3 linked regions of the Anolis sagrei genome follow. The protein of the gene in region 1 interacts with the protein of each later gene in a pairwise test. Links are inferred from orthologs where the notes say so. Each region holds a gene or a part of one and is shown in the gene's direction. Other genes may lie near its edges.

Region 1 (7,725 bases):
GGAAGCATTATTTGCTTAGTCCTTGCTTGTTTGATGCCTGTTACAAATGTATGGATCATAGGGAAGGGATCTATCAAATACTGCTTCAGTAATACATCTAATGGGGTCCACTGAACAGCAGATAAACTCATCTCCTGGTCTGTTCACTTTTATATAGGTTTTCCTGTCTTGTGTGTGCTTTCCAACAGAGCCACAGTATATTTGCTCCATAATTATGAGGCTATTATGTTCATATTAATATAAAAATGATTGGAGCAGATTCTTTCATCTAGTTCAGTGGTTTCCAACATATTGACTGTGGACCACCAGTAGTCTGCAAGAACTAAAATATGGTCCGTGGTATGGGCGAGCAAATGGTGACTACTGGATGGCATATGTTCTGTATCAGAAACTAGAGCTGATGTGGTCTATTCAATGCAATTTTCTGAATCAACACCCCAAATAACCAAACTGAATCTAAAGTTGACCAAAAACGGATTCATAACCATTTTGGTAATGTTGGAGAGTAGTCCCTGGTCAAAGTGGTCTCTGGCCAAATGGTCCCTGATTAAAAAAAAGGTTGGGAACCACTGATCTAGTTGGATGAAGAGATGGAGTGTGTCAGGGCTACAGATTTGCATCTGCCATGGATGTTACCATAGAACAGTGAATGGCCTACCTAGCTGTCCCCCATTAAAAAGAAAACAGAATCAACCTGGAATAATTCACCTATTGGCCATTTACTGGATGTGTTGCTGGATAAAATACATTCAGTTGAAGCTGGTGTCATAATGTAGTTATTTTAATCTTTTGAATATTGTTATTTTGATCTTTTGATCCAAAAATGGTTCTTAAGGCATTGAACGCCAGCCTTCAATACTTGTGAAGTTGAATGAGTAATATTCCAATGTAGTTTAGTGTAAGAATTGTCAATATCCCTTCAAAGAGACTCAGTGCAGTCTAAATATAATGTTTACTTTAAAGCTTCCTCTCAGGTTTTCGAGAGGTCTAAATCCATTACCATAGTGACTGAGAAGTAGGCAAGAATGTCAAGAGAATAATTTTTCTAGTATGTCAACATTTTTTACAGCTTAAGCCTGTAAAAGAAAATCCAGAATTTATCAGATATGTGCCTATGGGCTATTTTCAGTCAGGAATTGCTGTGGGTGATGTCATGGTTGAAGTGTTCATGGGTGGGCATCCACAGAAGCTTTATAGATTGATACCTTTTTTTCCTGAAAACAATTGAATAGATTTTCTTTTTGGGACTGGTGGATTTGTATGGCCATTTTGAAATGTTGAATAATTTCCCATTCTGTAGAAATTGGTGTAATATGATGTAATAGCAATTAATAGTTGTTTCTGATTCCCTCCCTTCACACACTGCCACAGAGAGAGACTATTGCTTTAAAGTGAAAAGGTTTCCTTATTCGTTTCAGCAGAGGGAAGCCTTCCAGGTTGATTGCCTTCATAAAGTCTGTCTGGACTAAGTAGTCAGACTAGGTATGTGAACGGCAAAGGGTGCATCTACACTGTAGTATGAATGCAGTTTGACTCCACTTTAACAGTCATGCCTCAATGTTGTGGAACTGCAGTGTATAGTTTGCTGAGGCATCAGCATTCTTTGGCAGAGAAGGCAAAAGACCATGTAAAACCACAATGCCCATGATTACATAGCGTTGATATCAAACTGCATCAATTCCACAGTGTAGAGCAGGGGTCCTCAAACTAAGGCCCGAGGGCCAGATACAGACCTCCAAGGTCATTTACCCGGCCCTCGCTCAGGGTCAACCTAAGTCTGAAATGACTTGAAAGCACACAACAACAACAACAACAACAATCCTATCTCATCAGCCAAAAGCAGACCCACACTTCCCACTGAAATACTAATAAGTTTATATTTGTTAAAATTGTTCTTCATTTTAATTATTGTATTGTTTTTAAGCCTTTTTTGCACTACAAATAAGATATGTGCAGTTTACATAGGAATTCATTCATGTTATTTTCAAAATTCAGTCCTCCTCCCCCCAATAGTTTGAGGAACTGTGACCTGGCCCTCTGTTTAAAAAGTTTGAGGACCCCTGGTGTAGAGTAACCCAAAGTGAGTCTGCTGCTTAATGAAAGCACCAGGGTGTATGTTCACCATAGAAATAATGGAGTTTGACAGCACTATTATCTGTCATGGACCAATGCTGTGGAATCAGTGGAGTTGTAGTTTTACAAGGTATTTAAGGTTCTTTGGCTGGTGCCTCACCAAATTATGACTTCCAGGATGGCATGGCCTTGAGTCTTAGTGGTTCAAGTGGTGTCAAACTTCCTTAATCAAACATTGTGCATCAGGCATGGGCAAACTTGGGTCCTCCAGATGTTTTGGTCTTCAACTCCCACAATTCCTAACAGCCTAACCTAAGCTGTTAGGAAGAAACCTAGGTTTCTTCTCCTAAAGGAAGGAACCATAAAATAAACAAAATCTGGCTACCAGTATTTAAAAAAACCACTAAAATTATAACAGCAAATAAAGAACAACACTCAAACACGGGGGAACTCCAGACAAGAAACTATCAGGAACAACTAATCACCTCTCGTCAAAAGATTTCCCCAGGCAGTAACAAGCCACACCTAAAAACTGCCAGGCCATTTAATGCTAAGGAAGATGGCCAATAGCAACATTCACACTTGCCTCAAACAGACAAGAGTTCTTTTTCCCACCCTGGACATTCCACAGACATATACATCCAATTTTCCTAGTTCTGAAAGACCTTAAAACTTCTGAGGATGGCTGCCATAGATGCAGGCAAAATGTCAGGAGATAATACTTCTAGAACAGTGTTTCTCAACATGGCGGTTGAGACCCCTGTGGGGTCATGAGGGGTGTCAGAGGGGTCACCAAGACTATCAGAAAACACAGTCATGGGTGTTCTGTGTGGGAAGTTTGGCCCAATTCTATCATTGGTAGGGTTCAGAATGCTCTTTGATTGTAGGTAAACTATAAATCCCAGCAACTACAACTCCCAAATGACAAGGTCTATTTTCCTTAAACTCCACCAGTGTTACATTTGGGCATATTGACTATTTGTGCCAAGTTTGGTCCACATCCATCATTGTTTGAGTCCACAGTGCTCTCTGGATGTAGATGAACTATAACTAACTACAAAACTCAAGGTCAATGCCCACCAAGCTCTTCCGGTATTTTTTGTTGGTCATGGGAGTTTTGTGTGCCAAGTTTGCTTCAATTCCATCATTGGTGGAGTTCAGAACGCTCTTTGATGGGAAGTTTGACTATCAATCCCAGCAACTACAACTCCCAAATGACAAAAATCAATCCCCCTCAACCCCACCAGTATTTAAATTTGGGCATATGGTGTATTTGTGCCAAATTTGGTCCAGTGAATGAAAATACATCCTGCATACAGTATCAGATATATACACCACAATTCATAACAGTAGCAAAATTACAGTTACAAAGAGGCAACGAAAATACTTTTATGGTTTGGGGTCACCACAATATGAGGAATTCTATTAAGGGGTTGTGGCATTAGGAAGGTTGAGAACCACTGTTCTAGAACATGGCCATAGAGCCCAAAAAACCTACAACAACCCAACCTACTGGCTGTTAGGAACTATGGGAGCCAGGCCCGTAGCCAGGATTTCGTTTCGGGGGGGGGGGGGCTGATTTTTTTTCAGGGGGGGGGTTCGGGGGGGCTGAGTTTCGGGGGGGGGCTGAGTCTGAGTGAAAGAGGGTCTAGCCTAGCAAATCTTTTGTATCATTACCCCAATACCCCATGCATATGGGATATATTGAGTAGGGTGATCAGATCATGATATGAATAAACATAACAGTTTAAATAATGCACCAATAAGGCCTTTTCGCGAACCACCATGAGAATTTCGGGGGGGGGGGGGCTGAAGCCCCCCGAGCCGCCCCCCCCCCCCGGCTACATGCCTGATGGGAGCTGAAGTTCAAAACACTTGGAGGGCCGAAGTTTGCCCATACTTGGTGTAGATACATCTTTGGTCACTCTTTGAGATGAATCTGTCAGTGCATCCTTACACGAAAGAGGGATGGAGGGCTGGTGCCTGTGAAATAGAAGTCATAGGAGTGGAAGATGCAATGTCCCTTGGAAGGTGACAACTTTCTCCATGAATCTTCAGGGGCGGGCCCGGGGTATGGATTCTTGGAGGAAATCAACAGCCCTGGACAGAAGTAAAATATGCAGCGTCTGGGCTTGACTCGTTTTTCCTAAGGAGGGGAATCAAAGAGAGAGAAATCCAAAGCCGCAGCCCTTCCAAAGCCCTCAGACGCCCTTCGCTCCGCTTCAGCACCTTGGACAGCGAGCGGCGCGCTAAGTCCCTCCCTGATCCCCTTCCCGGCTTTTTTTTTTTTCCGCCCTTGCCTTTCACTTAAGGCGACGGGGTCGCGAGCCAATGGGAAGCCGCCGCTGCGCTTCACGCCCCGCCTTTCCAGCCCCCGCTGCCCAATGGGAAGGGCGGAGCGGTGGGTGGAACGCTCCTTCTCGCCCACCTCTCTAGTTAAGGCTCCTGCTCGGCGGCGCCTGTGGCTCAGTTAGAGAGGCGCGAGGCAGAGAAGCCGAGGCAGGCATCCCGGGGCGCGCGCGTGTGTCTGGCGGGAGGGGGGCGCGCGCTGTCCAGGGTCCTGCAGCCAAGGGAGGCTTGCTCCAAGTCCGAGGGAAGGCAAGGAGCTCCCCGCGCACCACCTTTCGGGCAGGCAGCCGATCCCAAGTGCTGCCCGGTCTACTATGGAAGAGGAGAAATACCTACCCGAGCTGATGGCCGAGAAAGATAGCCTGGATTCGTCCTTTGTTCACGCGATGCGCCTTTTGGCAGAAGGTAGGAGGACTTTGAGGGGGCTCCTCTCCTCTGGCTGCCTTTCTGAGCCAAGGAGAAGCGGTGGCTGTTGCTGCTGAGGATTGAAATGTTGCATAGGCACTCAGATCCTACATAGGGACTGAGATCTTGCATAGGGACTCAGCTCTTACATAGGGACTGAAATCTTTCCTAGGGAAGCATTGGGACTGAGATCTTGTGCGAGGCCTCGGACTAAAGGAAGGGGGTTTGAAAAGGGGGAGAGAAAGGCGAAGATAGTCTTTCCCTTCCCCGTTGAGGAAGAGCCAAGGAGCTCTGTTGTTCTGGTCTGAGATCTACATAGAGACAGAGGCTGCTGAGACCAATGAGTCTGGTGGGAGGATTCGCCTTAGAGAAAGTGAAGGAGGAAAGCAACTGAGGGTGTAGCATTAATGCAGTTCCACACCACTTTGCCTGCCATGGTTCAAAGGGGATTGAAGTTTCACAAGGTCTTTAGCTTTCTCTACCAAATAGTGCTGGTGCCTCGCTAAAATACAGCTGTTATGATTCCATAGCCATGGCAGTGAAAGTGGTGCCAAACTGCATTATTTCCACAGTGTAGATGCACTCCTCCATCACCCCAGTGTCCATAACCTTCATCCAACTGTACTATAGAAGTATAGAGTTTGTGTCAATGGCCCCTATGTCCCTACTATTGCTTCCAGAGGAAGAGATACTGATAGGTTTCAATGGCAACACCCTATACTCAAGAGGATGATTTGTGTCCTCATAGACTCACCTCTCCATCAATCCAGTTTGCAAACAAATCAGCAACAATTTGGCATTTTGTGAAAGAGATCCAACTCAGCCATCTTTTTCTTTCTTTTTTCTAAGATGTACATTATTTTAGAAAGATTTTTTTCCAGATCATAAAAGTTTTATATATATATATACTTGAGAAAGAAAATGGAATGGCAGTAGTAATCCAAACAAGGATTGTTTCTATTTTTGAGAGCTACATTTCAAGCAACTCTTCCTGCCCAGTGTTATGACTAGTTAAATCGTAGCAAATACCCTTCGCTTATTAAAAAACACTCAAGACTTTTACCATCATGGACAATCATTTCCATGGGAATTATTTGTTTTCATAGGAAGCTTTTATTTCTTTTCGTGCTCCCTTTTTTTTTTTTAGTAAGAACTGCTCTGTTATCAGGTGTACTACTTTTGTAGTGGAAAAAGCTTTTGGACTCCAATTTTTATTTACAGAAAGACAGATGCAAAGTGTTTCATTAAAGCTGTTCCATCTTGGGCTGTTGTGTTAAATGTCCATATTATATGGGAAGAGCTAAATCCATCACAATGCCTGTGATTCGTGTCATTCCAGTTCATTTCAGTCTACTCTTGTTCTGGATTTGTTAAGTTTGTCAACTGCCAGGTTTACCCCATTTTGCTAGAATATCAAACTCTTGTAGTCATGTCAGGACTAATTAATTGTTGAAGAACTCACGAGCAAGTTACCAGAACTTTCCAAGTTGTGCCTTTGAATAACTGTATCTGAGTGTTGTTGAAGGCTTTCATGGCCTGAATCACTGGGTTGCTGTGAGTTTTCCAGGCTGTATAGCCATGTTATGCTTCTGGAACATGGCCATACAGCCCAGAAAACTCACAGCAACTGAGACTGTATTTGAGTTGAGAAGCACAGAAAATCACCACCAAAAGTATTCTCCCTGATTTCATCCATTGTCCATGTTATTAATATCTGTCTGTAAAATATAGTTAAATTGTTTAGTTTGATAGTATTGCTTTCCCTTTCAATTATAATATGATACTGGATCTTCATCCCATGTTATTGTTAGACTTGGAAGGGTTTGTAATGAAATGAAGTCAAATGCAAATAATTTGATAGAGATCTAACAGTGTCTGTATATGGAAATAAGATGTCAATATTCCAAAGAATCTGAATAATTATCTTAAAAACATGTAAGCAGGCATCAAACATACTTTATTTTAAAAGTCTTCAGGCTCTCATTTTAAAAGGGGATGCCAGATTTGTAAATGAGAGCTTTCCCATCATATACTCTTTTTTAAAGTATAGATTCCCCGCCAGAAATATGATTTGTGTGTGTAATTTGAAATTTTCCCAGCAGGGGGAACTATCTGCTGAGACACAGTAAAATCAGAAGAAAAGTGAAGGGTAGAGGACTTTGGGGAGGAATAAAATGGGGGGGGGGGGAATACAAAACTCTGTGGTTATTTTAAAACCTTTTAATAAAAGTGAGCCCATGCAGATGTATTTACATCTACCTTTCCCATTCAAGCTAAAATTCAGCTGCAAATGATGCACATATTTTAATAAATGTGCTACTCCCCGACCCCCCTCAAGTGTAGCTGTAGGTTAGGATATGTGGATATTAAACACAGACTAAGGTGAGTTGCTTAAGAAAGCAAGAGAGAGTACTAATGTGGGATTCACACCAGCTACCTTGCATTATCCTTCAAAACACCATCTGTCAAGGTTTCTGGAACTGTGTTTCAGATTTATGCAAAAATATAAAATGTCTGAAAGGCAAACTTTCAATAAAATGAGCACACCTAGAGCTGTGAAAACTATAGGCAGAGTGATGCATTTTATGTTGAAAGATTACCATGATGCTATCACCATTTATTTGAATGTCAGCAAAAAAGAAGACTATAGAGCAATTATATTGTATTAGCCTTTAAAATGGCATCTCTTACAATAATATAATATTAGTATGGACTGTTTGCCATTTTTGGATTCAAGGAGAGGTCCTTGATAACTTACAAAGCCTTCTTACTGCAACATATGACAATTAAGTGTACAAGCAAAGTCTTGTTTTACAATGCCTGGCATTTTTCACTTCACTTTTTAATCCTTAGCAGTTGAAGTTAGGCAGACCTATGCAGCATCCTTAGAGGAAATAT
Region 2 (7,768 bases), on another chromosome or scaffold:
GACTTGAGAAGCTACAAGTCTCTTCTGGTGTGAGAGAATTGGCCATCTGCAAGGACGTTGCCCAGGGGACATCAGGATGTTTTGATGCTTTACCATCTTTGTGGGAGGCTTTTCTTATGTCCCCGCATGGGGAGCTGCAACTGACAGAGGGAACTCATCCACACTTTCCCTGATTTGAACCTCTGACCCATCGCTCTTCAGTCCTGCTGGCACCCATTGCTCCACCGGGGGCTCCTACTTGGATTTATAGTTCATTTATAGCAATCAATGAGCACTCTGAACTTCACCAAAGATGGAATTGGACCAAACAAAGACCCCATGACCAGCAAAAAATACTGGCAGTCTCAACCACTGCATATCTTACTTACTTAGGTGATCCCTCATTGTCCAAGTCTGATGGCCTTCTTGTCAGTGGGTCCATGGGTGACTGTGGAGCGCTGTTCTTGATCTACATGTTTTTCCACAGTGAGGGCATTGCTTTCCAGGTGGAAGGCCATCTCGGTCAGGGTTGGCTTGACATGCCTTCCTCTTGACACGTTCCTCCTTTTCACCCTCCATTTGTGCCTCTTCAGATTCCACAGCACTGTTGGTAACAGCTGACCTCCAGTTAGAGCATCCAGTTCTCGGTGTCTGTGCCACAGTTTCTAAGATTGGCTTTAAGCCCATCTTTAAAACTCTTTTCCTGTCCATGAACATTACATTTTCTCTTCTTGAGTTGGGAGTAGAATAACTGCTTTGGGAGACGGGCATTTGGACAACGTGGCCATTCCAGCGGAGTGAATGGCATAGGAACATCGCTTCAATGCTGGTGGTCTTTGCTTCTTCCAGCATGCTGACATTTGTCCGCCTGTCTTATTCCAAAGATATTTGCAGGATTTTTGGGAGGCAATGCTGATGAAATCGTTCCAGGAGTTGAGTGTGATGTCTGCAGACAGCCCACATTTTGCAGGTGTAGAACAGGGTTGGGGGGACAACAGCTTTATAAACAAGCACCTTGGTATCACTACGGATGTCCCGATCCTCATTCAGAAGAATGCTGCACTTGCAGAGCTCTGGCAGTGTTGTATTTCAGTGTCAATGTTAACTTTTGTGGAGAAGTGGCTGCCAAGGGAGCAGAAGTGGTCAACTGCTGGGAGAGCACTTTGGTTTTCTTGATGTTCAATGAGACGCTGAGCATTTCATATGTCTGCAAAGGTGTGGCTTGTAGGTCTTCTTCTGAATGCGCAGAGACTACATTGCCATCGGCATACTGGAATTCTATAACAGATGTTGTTGTGACCTATAAACACACAATATTTTTTTAAAAAAATCTAAAACCCGTTTGAAATTAAGATTCCTAAGATGCTGTGCTTCTGAGCAGGAAGGTGGAGGAAATGTGTTTCTGAGAGGAAAAATGAAGGAAAAGATATGTTTCTGAGGAGAAAGTTGGAGGAAACATTGTTTCTGAGGGGAAAGATGAAGGAAAAGATAGGTTTCTGAGGAGAAAGTTGGAAGAAACATTGTTTCTGAGGAGGAAGACGGAGGAAAAGATAGGTTTCTGAGGAGAAAGTTGGAAGAAACATTGTTTCTGAGGAGGAAGACGGAGGAAAAGATAGGTTTCTGGGGAGAAGGTTGGAAGAAACATTGTTTCTGAGGAGGAAGACGGAGGAAAAGATAGGTTTCTGAGGAGAAAGTTGGATGAAACATTGTTTCTGAGGGGAAAGATGAAGGAAAAGATAGGTTTCTGAGGCGAAAGTTGGAGGAAACATTGGAGGAAATGTTGCTTCGAGGCGGAAAAGGAGCTTGCTCCCAGTGCAGAAGCGGCAAGGCTGGCCCATGACTTCCCCTCTCCACATGGGGTATGGGGGGGGGGGGGGCTTCCAGGCTCTCCTGGCTTTATTTATTATTTATTTCAAATATTTATATTCTGCCCAACATCTACACAAATGACCAGCCACTGCCAGAAGGGACAGAGAGTTTCATCTATGCTGATGATCGTGCCATTACCACTCAAGCAGGGAGCTTTGAGATGGTAGAACAGAAGCTCTCCGAAGCTCTAGGTGCTCTTACTGCCTACTACAGGGAAAACCAGCTGATCCCTAATCCATCTAAAACACAGACATGCGCCTTTCACCTTAAGAACAGACAAGCATCCCGAGCTCTGAGGATCACCTGGGAAGAAATCCCACTGGAGCATTGCAGCGCACCCAAGTACCTGGGAGTCACTCAGGACCGTGCTCTGACCTACAAGAAGCACTGCCTGAACATCAAGCAAAAAGTGGGTGCTAGAAACAATATCATACGAAAGCTGACTGGCACAACCTGGGGATCACAACCAGATACAGTGAAGACATCTGCCCTTGCGCTATGCTACTCTGCTGCTGAGTACGCCCAGTGTGGAACACATCTCACCACACTAAAACAGTGGATGTGGCTCTTAATGAGACATGCCGCATTATCACGGGGTGTCTGCGCCCTACACCACTGGAGAAATTACACTGTCTAGCCGGCATTGCACCACCTGACATCCGCCGGGAAGTAGCAGCCAATAGTGAAAGGACCAAGGCAGAGACATCTCCAGCTCATCCCCTGTTTGGGTATCAGCCAGCACGTCAACGACTTAAATCAAGACATAGTTTTCTTAGATCTACAGAGACACTCGCTGGAACACCTCAGCAAGCGAGAGTCCAAAAGTGGCAGGCCCAAACCCAGAACCTCAACCAATGGCTGATACCAAATGAGAGACTCCCTCCTGTGCACACAGAAGACTGGGCGACTTGGAAGGCGCTGAACAGATTGCGCTCTGGCACCACGAGATGCAAAGGCAATCTTAAGAAATGGGGCTACAAAGTGGAATCCACGACATGCGAGTGCGGAGAAGAGCAAACTACAGACCACCTGCTGCAATGCAACCTGAGCCCTGCCACATGCACGATGGAGGACCTCCTTGCGGCAACACCAGAGGCACTCCAAGTGGCCAGATACTGGTCAAAGGACATTTAATCAACTACCAAGTTTGCAAAATTTGTGTTTTTTTAATGTTTGTTTGTTTTGTTCTGTTAGAAATGTAATACCATGTTCTGGTTGTGGATGACACGATAAATAAAATAAATACCCCGAAGGAGCCCCCGGTGGCGCAGTGGGTTAAAGCCTTGTGCCGGCAGGACTGAAGACCAACAGGTCGCAGGTTCGAATCCGGGGAGAGGCGGATGAGCTCCCTCTATCAGCTCCAGCTCCTCATGCGGGGACATGAGAGAAGCCTCCCACAAGGATGATAAAAACATCAAAACATCTGGGCATCCCCTGGGCAACGTCCTTGCAGACGGCCAATTCTCTCACACCAGAAGCGACTTGCTCCCGACACGACAAAAAAATAAATAAAACCCGAAGGAGACTTAGGGCGGAGCACACCATATACATGGCAAACATTCAATGCTAGGACATGAATTCATTATATGAATACATAAACATCACAAATATTTGTATCAATATTAAAATACACTGGGTTGTTGTAGGTTTTTCCGGGCTATATGGCCATGTTCTGGAGGCAATTTTTCTCCTGACGTTTCGCCTGCATCTATGGCAAGCATCCTCAGAGGTAGTGAGGTAGCCCAAGCTACCTATCCGAACGTATCTCTGCCTATCAGCCCGCCAGGACCCTGAGATCTTCTGGGGAGGCCCTGCTCTCTATCCCGCCTGCTTCACAGGTGCGGCTGGCGGGGACGAGAGACAGGGCCTTTTCGGTGGTGGCCCCTCGGCTGTGCAACGCCCTTCCCATGGAGGTAAGATCAGCTCCCTCGCTAATGGTGTTAAAGATTAAAAACTTGGATGTTTGAACAGGCATTTGGTTAATCAGTGCAATGAATGTGACAATTACAGGAATGGAAATATGGACGACGAATTTGGATCACGACTCTAGTAATGAGATGCATTGTGTTGTTACTGTTGTGTAATATTGTATATTGTGCTCTTATGGTTTTAAACTGTATATCGTTGATTGATTTTATCCTTGTTGTAAACCGTGTTGAGTCGCCGGTTAGGCTGAGAAACTGCGGTATACAAGTAAAGTAAATAAATAAATAATAGTGAGGTCTGTTGGAATTAGGAAAAATGGGTTTATATATCTGTGGAATGACCAGGGTAATGTTTCAGCTGATCACCTTGATTTGCATTCAATGGCCTGGAAGCGCCTGGGGGGAATCTCTTGTTGAGAGTGAATTGATGTGCCTGATTGTTTACTCTCTGTTGTTGAAATGCACTGCTTAAAATCGTCTTGTCTGGCTTCCCCAAGATGACACCCTTCCCCCCCTCCCTTCCCCGTTCATTGCGGCAAACCTGAGCCGCATTGCTGACAACAAGGCGCGAATGTAGGCCAGCGTGGCCACGCCTCCTTCCTCTGCCTCAGACACGGGTTTTGAGGCGGAGCTGAGGAACCGTCCAATCGCTCCGCTCGTCCAAAAGAGAGGCGGGGCTTGTTGCCCTTGTCAACACCACCCTCATCCCTTTTTTATTCCGGCTCGCCCAATCACAATTCGCGCATCCTTCCTGTTTTGAATATTAATCAGGCTTTAGCCAATGGGAAGCTCGATGGAGCGTTGCCTCACGGCCGGGGAGAAGCGTCTATCCGGGGAAGCGCCGTGCTGCATACGCATGAGGTGGGCGGGGCCCCGCGGGCGGGTATATAAGGCGCCGCACGGGGGCGCTCCTGCGCAGTTCGCATTTGGTTGTTGAAGAGCGCGTGTAGCTTTCTGTAGGAGACAAGAGGAGAAGGACACATCACTCGGTAAGAGATTTTCAAAGGAGGGCGAATATATTTAAATACTCCAAAGCATTCCGAGTGCAGGAATGTTCAACTGGGGGAACTGAGTAGGGATTCGCTCGAGGGGAATTGCGCGGAAGAGCTTGTTTTGGTCGACGGAGGGGAATAAAATGGCGTCCGGCCGGCTTTTGGGAGGAAGGCGCAAAATGGCGCGAGGAAGTGCGCGAGGCGGCGTTGCGCCTTCGAGGAGGGAGAGAGCGGAGGTGCGCCCTCTACTGGGCAGAGGCCACGCTGCGCGCATGCGCAGATTAGATTCTGTCACTTTCAGACAGCCCTAGGCCAAATTGGGCCCTCCAGGTGTTTTGGATTTCAACTCCCATTATTCCTAACAGCCACAGACAGGCCTGTAGCGAGGGGGTGGTTTTAGGGGTTCAAACCCCCCCCGAAATGTTTCAGATTTTTTTTTTAAAAAAACTGGTTTGCTCATGAATTTTAACTGGTTACCCAAATCCCCATGCTAAGTCTATGAGATGCAAAAAATTAAGAGTCCCTCCAGAACTGCAAGCAATATCTCAAGCAAATATTGACAATTTATTCACACTGCCATTACTTGCAGCAATTGCCGATGTAGTGAAGCAACCAAGTTGGAGGGGAGTGTTGAATGCTCTCATTAAGGAGGCCAGACTTGGTGGAGGTGGTTGACAGGGGTGGAGCTGCAGGCTATTGAAGGTTGCTCTGCCCCCTGCTGTGCTCTTTGCTTCAGCGTGAGCTAGGAGGCAGGTTTCCACCCCCTCCCCCGACATTTTCAACCCCCCCTAAAATTTTCACACACCCCCCCTCCCAAATTGTCAACCCTCCCCAAAAAGTTTTTCTGGCTACGGCCCTGGCCACAGACCCCTTCCTTTTCCTGAGGCTGTTAGGAATGGTGGGAGTTGAAGTCCAAAACACTTGGAGGGAGGGCTGAATTTGGCCCAAGGAATTGGGAGCCCCCCCCCCCTCTTGCACCATAAGCTGCTCTGGCCAGAGCAAATTATTATTATTATTATTATTATTATTAATACTTTATTTGTACCCCGCTAGCATCTCCCGAAGGACTCGATGCGGCTTACAAAGGCCAAGGCCTCAATACACAACATAACAATACAAAACCCAAGACAAATTAAAAACAATCAAAGCAATAAACAATACACTAGGACACAGTGAACCTGGGCCTGGCCAGAGTAATGGGTACAGGATTAAAAGTGCTGATGTGACAGGTGGGATATAAGGCTTATAGGGCAAGTGCAGTGTGCAGCGTGCAGCAATCTTAGTTTTAATAAAGTGCTTCTGGGACTTGGTATTGGAGATTTCCTATTCTGGGAAGGCACATCAGAACAGCCAGGTCTTCAAGTTTTTTCTAAAGACTGCCAGGGTAGGGGCCTGTCTAAGATCTTTGGGGAGGGTGTTCCAGAGTCGGGGGGCCACCACAGAAAAGGCCCTGTCTCGTGTCCCCACCAAACGCGCTTGCGACGCAGGCGGGATCGCGAGCAGGGCCTCTCCAGATGACCAAAGTGAACGCGTGGGTTCGTAGACGGAGATGCGGTCACGCAGGTAGGATGGTCCCAAACTGTTCAGGGCTTTGTAGGTAAGCACCTGCACCTTAAATTGGGCTCGGAAAATAAACGGCAGCCAGTGGAGCTCCTTGAACAGGAGGGTTGACCTCTCTCTGTAAGGGGCCCCAGTTAACATCCTGGCCGCTGCTCGTTGGACCAGTTGCAAAGACAGAGAGGGGAGCAGAAGACATTTACATCTTGTCTTCTCTCTTTACTAATAATATAATATAGTATATTGTATGTGCATATAATATTTATAATATTATATTGTAATACAATATAATACTAGTAATAATAATACGCCCCCCCTGGTGGCGCAGTGGGTTAAAGCACTGAGCTGCTGAGCTTGTTGACCAAAAGGTCGCAGGTTTGATTCCAGGGAGCAGCATGAGCTTCCGCTGTCAGCCCTAGCTTCTGCCAACCTAGCAGTTCAAAAACATGCAAATGTGAGTAGATCAATAGGTACCGCTCCGGCGGGAAGGTAATGGTGCTCCATGTGGTCATGCTGGCCACATGACCTTGGAGGTGTCTATGGACAACGCCGGCTCTTCGGCTTAGAAATGGAGATGAGCACCACACCCCAGAGTCAGACATGACTGGACTTAATGTCAGGGAACAACCTTTACCTTTATAATAATGCAATATTATAATTATATATTTACATCACATGTAATATTACTAATAATATTACAATATAATGGTATAGTGCAATATAGTAATATATAATACTGATATTGTACTATGCTGATAATATAATATATTGTATGGAAATATATATTATAAGCTACTCTGAGTCCCCTTTGGGATGAGAGGGGTGGCATATAAATGCCGTAAATTAAAACATTCTGCAATTTCTTCTTCTGGCCCACAGGAGGAGAAATGGCATCGGACGAAGGGAAGCTCTTTGTCGGCGGGCTCAGTTTCGACACCAATGAACAGTCCCTGGAGCAGGTCTTCTCCAAATATGGACAGATCTCTGAAGGTAACAACCATGTATCTGCCCTCTGTAACATTTTGGGAATCCTTTGCCCAATTAATTAGGAAGAGGGATTGACCCGCTCTCCTCCCTTCCTTCCAGTGGTTGTGGTCAAAGACAGAGAAACGCAGAGGTCCCGAGGGTTTGGATTTGTGACCTTTGAAAACATTGACGACGCGAAAGATGCTATGATGGCCATGAATGGGAAGGTGAGTGGCCGCCATATTGGGGCAGCGCAGTGTTTTTCAATCTGGGCGGGCGGGGGGGGGGGGGGCGGGTGCGAAGGTATCAGGGATCACCAGAGGCAGTAAGTAACCACAATTTTCTGTATTGTCGAAGGCTTTCATGGCCGGGAATCACTGGGTTTTTTGGCTGTAAGGCCATGTTCTCTAGAAGCACTGTTTTCTGTTTGTCATGGAGGTTTGGTATAGGAAGTTTGATCCAGTTCTATCATTGGTGGGG
Region 3 (7,310 bases), on another chromosome or scaffold:
GGTCTTGTTGAGAGAGTGCCATACTGGAAGATACAAGCCCCTTCTACACTGCCCTATATCCCAGGATCTGATCCCAGATTTTCTGCTTATCCCAGATTATATGGCATTGGAGACACATATAATCTAGTTCAGAGCAGAGAATCTGGGATCAGATCCTGGAATATAAGCTCAATATAAGATAGACCACAGAGAGTCTTAGAGAGGTACTCTTATGGGTTAAAAAAACATTTTAATGGTTTTCCACTTTTACAGGCATTCACAAACCCTAACCCCAGCAAGCGTGTAAGTCTGATTGTACTTCACAATATACATTTGGTCTCATTTTCTTTTCACAGGTTTGGTTCCAGAATCGACGAGCAAAACAGCGAAAACAGGAACGAGCGTTCCCCAAATCTGCCACCACGGGCGTCCTCTCTGTCTGTCCCCTTCCCACGCCTCCAACGCGGCAGTATCAGTACCCACCCACCCTTGGGCCACACCATCACCTGCCTCGTTTTCCTTCTAATTATACTCTGCCTCCCGCAACTCCATCTGGAGCTCCAACTCAGTTCCCATGCCCCCAAACTTCCCGCACTCACGAAGACTGGTACACCCCTCTGCGCACCATTGGGTCTCCCACAGTAACTTCCCCACCTTCCATGATCTCACTGAGCCTTGATCCCAGCACCCTTTGGAACTGAGGGTCTCTTTGCTTGCAAAAATATGAATAAGGTGCATCCAGGTGGGGATAACACACATAAACATGGGGAACACAAAGCCACTCTTAAGGAAAAGCCAGAGTGTGACACCTTATCTTGGCCCCTGCCAAGTTCATGGCAACCTATCTGCTGAGGAATACCCATGCCTTTGCTATGAAAGAGCTGTGACAGTTTAGTGGCATTTCTGAAAATGTGCATTCAGCGCATACACATGTTTTTGGCTACATTTCTTAGGCCTTATACTTAGTAGTGTAGTGGAGCCACAGGGTTTTTTGAATAGCATGGCTCTGATGTCATTTGCCATCCCCTTACATTCCTGTTTCCTCTGGGGGCCCTTCCACACAGCCATATAATCCAGAATACCAAGGCAGATAATCCACAATATCTGCTTTGAACTGGGTTATCTGAGTCCACACTGCCATAAATCCAGTTCAATGTGGATTTTATACAGCTATGTAGAAGGGGCCTGATTTTCTCTACGGGAAAATGGATTTAATAACACTCTATTATAAATCAAAGTATTTGGGTGTGGCTTGACCTTTGATGAGCAAGATCCATTGGATATGCAAAAGACCTGCTTCCGGTGGAGTTGATTTGGAAAAAAATAGTCCAACAGAGCTGTTTTGGGACTCTCCTTGCAAATGTAGCTAAAGGGACTGACATGATTACAGCTGGCGCTTCAGAATTGAACACTACACCTGTGGATTTATTGTAATCCCAAATTAACAATCTGGAACAGGGCTGTCAAACTCATTTTCATAAACGCCATATCAGCCTGATAGTTCCTTCAAACAGCCATTGAATTCATGGATGGAGACTGTGGATACAGAGAGCCAACTCCACCCGCCCCTCTCTCTATACACACACACACACACACACACACACACATTTTCTACACAGCTGTAGAAAATCCACACTGAACTGGATTATCTGGCAGTGTAGACTCAGATAATACAATTCGAAGCAAATATTGTGGATTACCTGCTTTGGCATTCTGGGTTATATGGCTGTGTGGCAGGGCCTCCAGTATACACACTTCTCCTTTTACTTTTCTTTTTCCTTGCCCAATAGTTGCAATAGCTATGTTCCGCTTTACCTAAAATGCAAAATCACCAGCAAAAGGCATCCTTCAGTAGGGTAAACACAGGGCCCTTCTAGACAGGCCTTATATCCCAGGATCATATCAGAGGTTTTCTGTTTATCCCAGATTATCTGGTCGTGTGGACTCATATACTACTTCATCGCACTAGAGAATGATTCCTCTTAAAATCCGGTTTCTGCCTTCACAATTCTGGGGTTTGTAGCTTACTGAGGCTGTTAAAGGCCCCTCTCTAAACTACAAACCCCAGAATTGTGCAGGAGGTAGAAACCGGGTTTTGAGTGGATTCATTCTCTAGTGCAGTGGTTCTCAACCCGTGGGTCCCAAGGTGTTTTGGCCTACAACTCCCAGAAATCCCTGCCAGTTTAGCAGCTGTTAGGATTTCTGGCCAAAACACCTGGGGACCTACAGTTGAGAACCACTCCTCTAGTGTGATAAGGTTCTGGATTTGGGAGCTATCCTGGAAAATTGTGCATACAAAATACATGCGTACATTGATACATACATATTTTTACTTTTAGATTTTACACACATACACACACACACAGAATTTAGATTACTGATTATCTACCAGTTCATAAATATATATATGACTTGTCTAATTTACTTTTAGCCAGTTTGGAGTATCCTCATGCTTGGTCTCTCTCTATCTCTCTGGTGGTCCTTTCTGTTGTAGTTTTGCGTGTCTAAGACCTTTCCTTATTCTAAATAAGGACGTTTGTATGGAGTAACACTATGATCTTTGGACTAGCACTTCAGGAGAACGTGTTTTGAATTCCCGCTCAGCCATGGAAACCCGCTGGGTGACCTTAGACAAGCCACACTCTCTCAACCTCAGAGAAAGGCCATGGAAACCCCCACTGCACGTCTTGCCAAGAAAACCTTGTGATTGGTTCATCTTAGGCAGAGAAAACTTAAAGGCAATAAAAAACAAAAATTCAGAATATTATTATTATTATTTTATTATTTATTTAAACGTATATGCCGCCACTCCCCTGGGGCTCGGAGCGGCTTACAAGAATAGCTAAAATCTAACAAAATTTAAAAGCAATTTAAAACAATTTAAAAACAACAATATCAATCATTAAAAGCCTGTCGAAACAGGTATGTCTTACATGCCCTGCGGAAAGCTGGTAAGTCCTGCAAGGCACATACTTCAGGTGGCAGAGTATTCCAGAGTGATGGTGCCACTGCTGTGAAGGCTCTGTGTCTGGTTGCTGTTAGGCGCAAGGTCTTGACACTGGGGACTTCCAATAGATCTTGGTCCTCAGAACGGAGGGATCTCTGGGGTTGGTAGGGGGTGAGGCGGTCCCTCAGATACATCGGCCCCAGACCATGCAAGGCCTTAAAGGTGAGTACCATCACTTTGGAAGTGATCTGGTGCTCAATCGGTAACCAATGCAGCTGCAGAAAGATTGGGGTGATGTGGCATCTCATCGGAATTCCCACAAGAAGCCGAGCAGCTGCATCTTGTACCAACTTGAGCTTCCGGATCACCGACAGAGGAAGGCCAATGTAGAGGGCATTACAGTAGTCCAGTCTTGAGATGAATATTGGTTCATATGGCTGCTGCTATTAATTCTAATTTCAGACAGAGATCCAGCCACAACAGATTCTTTATCTGTTAACAAAAAATAAAGGAAAAATACAAATGTGGGGCAAGAGAGTTTTAAATCAGGCCTCTCAGTGAAGACTGAGATGTTTTTGAACTGTGGTGTTGGAGGAAAGTTCTGAGAGTGCCTTGGACCACGAGAAGATCCAACCAGTCCATATTCCAGGAAATAATGCCTGGCTGCTCACTGGAGGGAAGGATGTTGGAGGCAAAGATGAAGTACTTTGGCCACACAATGAGAAGGCTCCTCCTCTAAACCACAAACCACACAATTCTGCAGGAGGCAGTAACCGGATTTAAAGTGCATTCATTCTCTTAATCCAGTTTAAAGCAGAAAAGCTGGGCTCAGATCCCAGGATGTGGGGCCTGCGTGGAAGGGCCTAGAAGAGCACTGGGCCCCTCCATTTCTTTGCAAGGATCGTGTGGTTGGACGTCCTGAAGTCCTGTGGCTAACAACTATCATAATAATAATAAATGCCTTGCCAAATCCCTGTTGTGATTGCGTTGGTTTCCCTTCCATTTCTGCCCCCACCCCTTTCCCTTTTCGAAATCGAATCCTGGCCGGAAGTAAGCAAGCGACATTTTAATTTCCCTGCGTGACAAAAGGACGCCGGACTGGGGCGGAAATCTTTCCCTACGCAATTTGTTTAAAATGTGCTTTGGAGGGAGAAAGTTGAACAAATACCCGGATGTCCCCGCACTCCCCGCGTCCTTTCGGGCAAAGCGATTGGGCGAAAAGTCCCACCAAGGCGCACGCGCAGGCGCCGATGCCCATAAAAGGAGCGGCAGCGGTCACGTGGCCCTCCCTCATGGGCGGACCCCTATATAAGCGTCGAGCGGGCGGTGCCTCGGCCGCATTTTCCGCTGCTCCAGTGCTGTTAACACCTTTTTGGTAAGGCGGGGGTCGAAAATAATGGGTTGTTTTGGTGGGAAATGGAAGGAATGTTAATCCTCCCATATTATTAAAAAGGACAGCGTCCGCTGCCGTTCTTGAATAGCGGGTGAATGGGATAAAGCAGGAAAGAATAGCCAGGCCGTCTTTTACAAAGCGCAAGCACGTTTCGAGAAGCCTCGGGAATGTAGGGTGTCTGCGCATGCGTGGAAATTATCGCTTGGTGGTGGTGGTGGAGGCGGCTGCGCGCGCGGTGGGCGTTGCGCATGCGGGGGAGGAAAAGAGTGAAGAAACGGAAGGGCTGGCTGGGGCCCCTCCGCGAGGCGAAAGCGGCCGTTGGGCGCGAGGCCTCCAAACAGGCAGCGCTGCCGCCGCCGCCATCTTTGACGCTCCAGAGGCCCCTCTTGTTGGAGCTGGGGTTAACAAGATGGCGCTCGGGGCGGGGAAATGGAGGCGGGGAGGAAGGCAGGCAGGCATTTTGTCCTCCCTCCCTCCCGGGCAGCTTCCTCCTTTTCTATTTATTTACCAAGAGAATGAGACTTGGGATATTTACAGACGTTTTGATTTTTGAAAACAAGCCCCGAACTGGAGCTTCAGGAAATGAATCCGTGGATTTAGCAATGGGAAGGGATAGTTATGTGATCTTCCCAGAAACACATGAGGTATCAGTTATGGGACTACAATTTAGTCCTCCCTGAGATCAGGCCGTGAATTTAAGCCTAAAAATAATATTTTATTTATTAACTATATATACTGCTATTCTCACCCCGGGGGGGGGGGGGCAAGGCGGTTTACTTTTATATATTGACTATATTTATATACTGCTTTTCTCACGGGGGGGGGGGACGACGACTCAACATACTAATGGCAAAAATTCAATGCCAACATAGATGTAGACAAAAAATCATAACTAAACACTAATATATAACTATAAAATCATTAAAACCATTAAACATCAGAAATAAACATTTTAAAGCATTAAAACATAGTATGAATATTAAAATCACATAATCCAATAATTTTGATCCTGATTTTCTCCCTGATGGTACCCAAAGCGGCTCACAACACAATACAAGTGAAAAGCACATTTAACATAAAATACAAGACCAAAAAATCCCACAAAACATAATAACATCCAGAACTAAGATAGAAATAAATATTAAACATTTATAACCAATTACAATCTTTGTGGAGACTCTTCAGTTAAATGGTATATTTTGCTAAGCTCAGTGCAAACAATCTTGCTGTCATTAGCAATTGAATTCATTTGCCAAAAGCTTGCTTGAACAGGTAGGTCTTCAGCTGGTTCTTGAAAGATAATGGAAGGGGAGGGAGTTCAAAAGGGCCGGCAGCTACTGAGAATGCCCTCTCTCACCACCGCCTGTATTTCTGGCGGTGGCAACTCCCCAGATCTTAATGATCGGGCAGGTTGGTAAGAGGTGATGCAGTCAGATAGGTAAGTTGGGCTTGAACCTTTTAGGGCAGTGGTTCTCAACCTGTGGGTCCCCAGATGTTTTGGCCTTCAACTCGCAGAAATCCTAACAGCTGGTAAACTGGCTGGGATTTCTGGGAGTTGTAGGCCAAAACACCTTGGGACCCACGGGTTGAGAACCACTGGTTTAGGGCTTTAAAGGTCAAAACCATCACCTTGAATCGGACTCTGAAACATTGGCAGCCAGCCTACCCTACTAAAGCATTATTAACAAATTGTGTAAGTACAGTAGAAACAAATTGATAAAAAAAATGATCAAAAACAGTATGTTTCTCCTTAAAAGGTGGTGCTTTGCAGCTGGGCCCATCTATGTAGTCCATTTAATGCAGTGTGACACTGGCTTTAAACTGATAGTCAACAAGCTCCCACAAAAAGTGCAGCAGTGCTCTGGTTTGCATGATCACCGCATGGGCCACAGGCAGATTCCAGGATTTCCTGTGTAATCGTCTGCCCAGTGAAACCATTTTGTTCAATACTGTTTTGAAATTACCTTAAGTGGTCAGGATAGATGGGACCTATATCAACTCCTAATCCATATTCTTTTCCTTTGTTGCATGTCTTTTCTTTAGAACCCTCCTCATCACCATCATGTCTTCTGAAGAAGGAAAGCTGTTTGTTGGGGGGCTGAACTTTGATACTGATGAACAAGGCCTGGAGCAGCATTTCAGCTCCTTTGGTCCCATTTCGGAAGGTAAGCAAGTTCTGGGTATTTCTGGTAGAGGAAATTTACCTTTTTGTATAATCATGAAAGTGTTAAGTGAATCTCCCACTTTTGTATTGTTCTCCTAGTTGTTGTGATCAAGGACAAAGAGACCCAAAGATCAAGGGGCTTTGGTTTCATCACCTTTGCCAATCCTGAGCATGCATCCGATGCCATGAGAGCCATGAATGGAGAGGTAAGAATGTGAAAGTTGTTAATTTTGTTAACTCTTTTAAGCTGTCCTATTTTAAGTATACAAGACAAAACAATCGTTTGCTTGCAGGTATAAGACTTGTCCTGCTATATTTGGCTTTATTTCATTTCCTATTTACTTAATGGATTTTAGCCCAATCCGATAAAGAATTTGCACAGCATTAATATTTCACTTATCACACTTTGTGCCTTTATAGGCATCATTTCTAGTCTTAAGAATTGTACAGTATGAGATATGTTTTGGCACCAACAACCGTGTCAGTTTATTGCTAAAATGCAAAACTGGGTAGAGCTCAGTCTGTTCCCATCAGATCTGATCCTTTCAAAACTACGCATAATTCATGTTAGTGGCCTATGCCTGACTTCTAGCTACATCTCTGGAACTATTGATTTCTCCCAAATTTCTTTAAATTGTGGCTTCTTGTAGCTGGTGTACTCTGATGGAGTAGTTAGGCCATGTTTTGATCCAGCTCTTCACAGTTCAGACAAGTTCTTGTTCCAAGTTGTTTCTTCAGGGTTAAGTTCTCCCCCCACTGGTCTGCAGTTGATTCATGTATCAAGTTTTGTATTAAGTGTTTGCACAGTTGCTGACACCATGAGAAGA

Evidence for each region. The genes of interacting proteins can lie anywhere in the genome.
Region 2: the proteins of KHDRBS2 (region 1) and CIRBP interact in binary tests that used the Homo sapiens proteins (3 or more experiments, as listed by UniProt). The two-hybrid records come from large-scale screens. The link is inferred for Anolis sagrei from reciprocal best matches to the Homo sapiens genes KHDRBS2 and CIRBP.
Region 3: the proteins of KHDRBS2 (region 1) and RNA-binding protein 3-like interact in binary tests that used the Homo sapiens proteins (3 or more experiments, as listed by UniProt). The link is inferred for Anolis sagrei from reciprocal best matches to the Homo sapiens genes KHDRBS2 and RBM3.

The regions. Positions count from the first base shown.
Region 1 is NC_090021.1:117,775,356-117,783,080, forward strand, and holds the start of KHDRBS2 (KH domain-containing, RNA-binding, signal transduction-associated protein 2), read left to right. Parts: upstream 1-4,647; 5' UTR 4,648-4,736; coding exon 4,737-4,827; intron 4,828-7,725. UniProt on the Homo sapiens protein: RNA-binding protein that plays a role in the regulation of alternative splicing and influences mRNA splice site selection and exon inclusion. Binds both poly(A) and poly(U) homopolymers. Phosphorylation by PTK6 inhibits its RNA-binding ability.
Region 2 is NC_090034.1:60,015,563-60,023,330, forward strand, and holds the start of CIRBP (cold-inducible RNA-binding protein), read left to right. Parts: upstream 1-4,653; 5' UTR 4,654-4,762; intron 4,763-7,201; 5' UTR 7,202-7,209; coding exon 7,210-7,312; intron 7,313-7,408; coding exon 7,409-7,515; intron 7,516-7,768. UniProt on the Homo sapiens protein: Cold-inducible mRNA binding protein that plays a protective role in the genotoxic stress response by stabilizing transcripts of genes involved in cell survival. Acts as a translational activator.
Region 3 is NC_090022.1:194,292,341-194,299,650, reverse strand, and holds the start of RNA-binding protein 3-like, read left to right. Parts: upstream 1-4,195; 5' UTR 4,196-4,301; intron 4,302-6,362; 5' UTR 6,363-6,381; coding exon 6,382-6,484; intron 6,485-6,582; coding exon 6,583-6,689; intron 6,690-7,310. Other genes in the region: homeobox protein prophet of Pit-1-like, read left to right, coding at 336-680. UniProt on the Homo sapiens protein: Cold-inducible mRNA binding protein that enhances global protein synthesis at both physiological and mild hypothermic temperatures. Reduces the relative abundance of microRNAs, when overexpressed.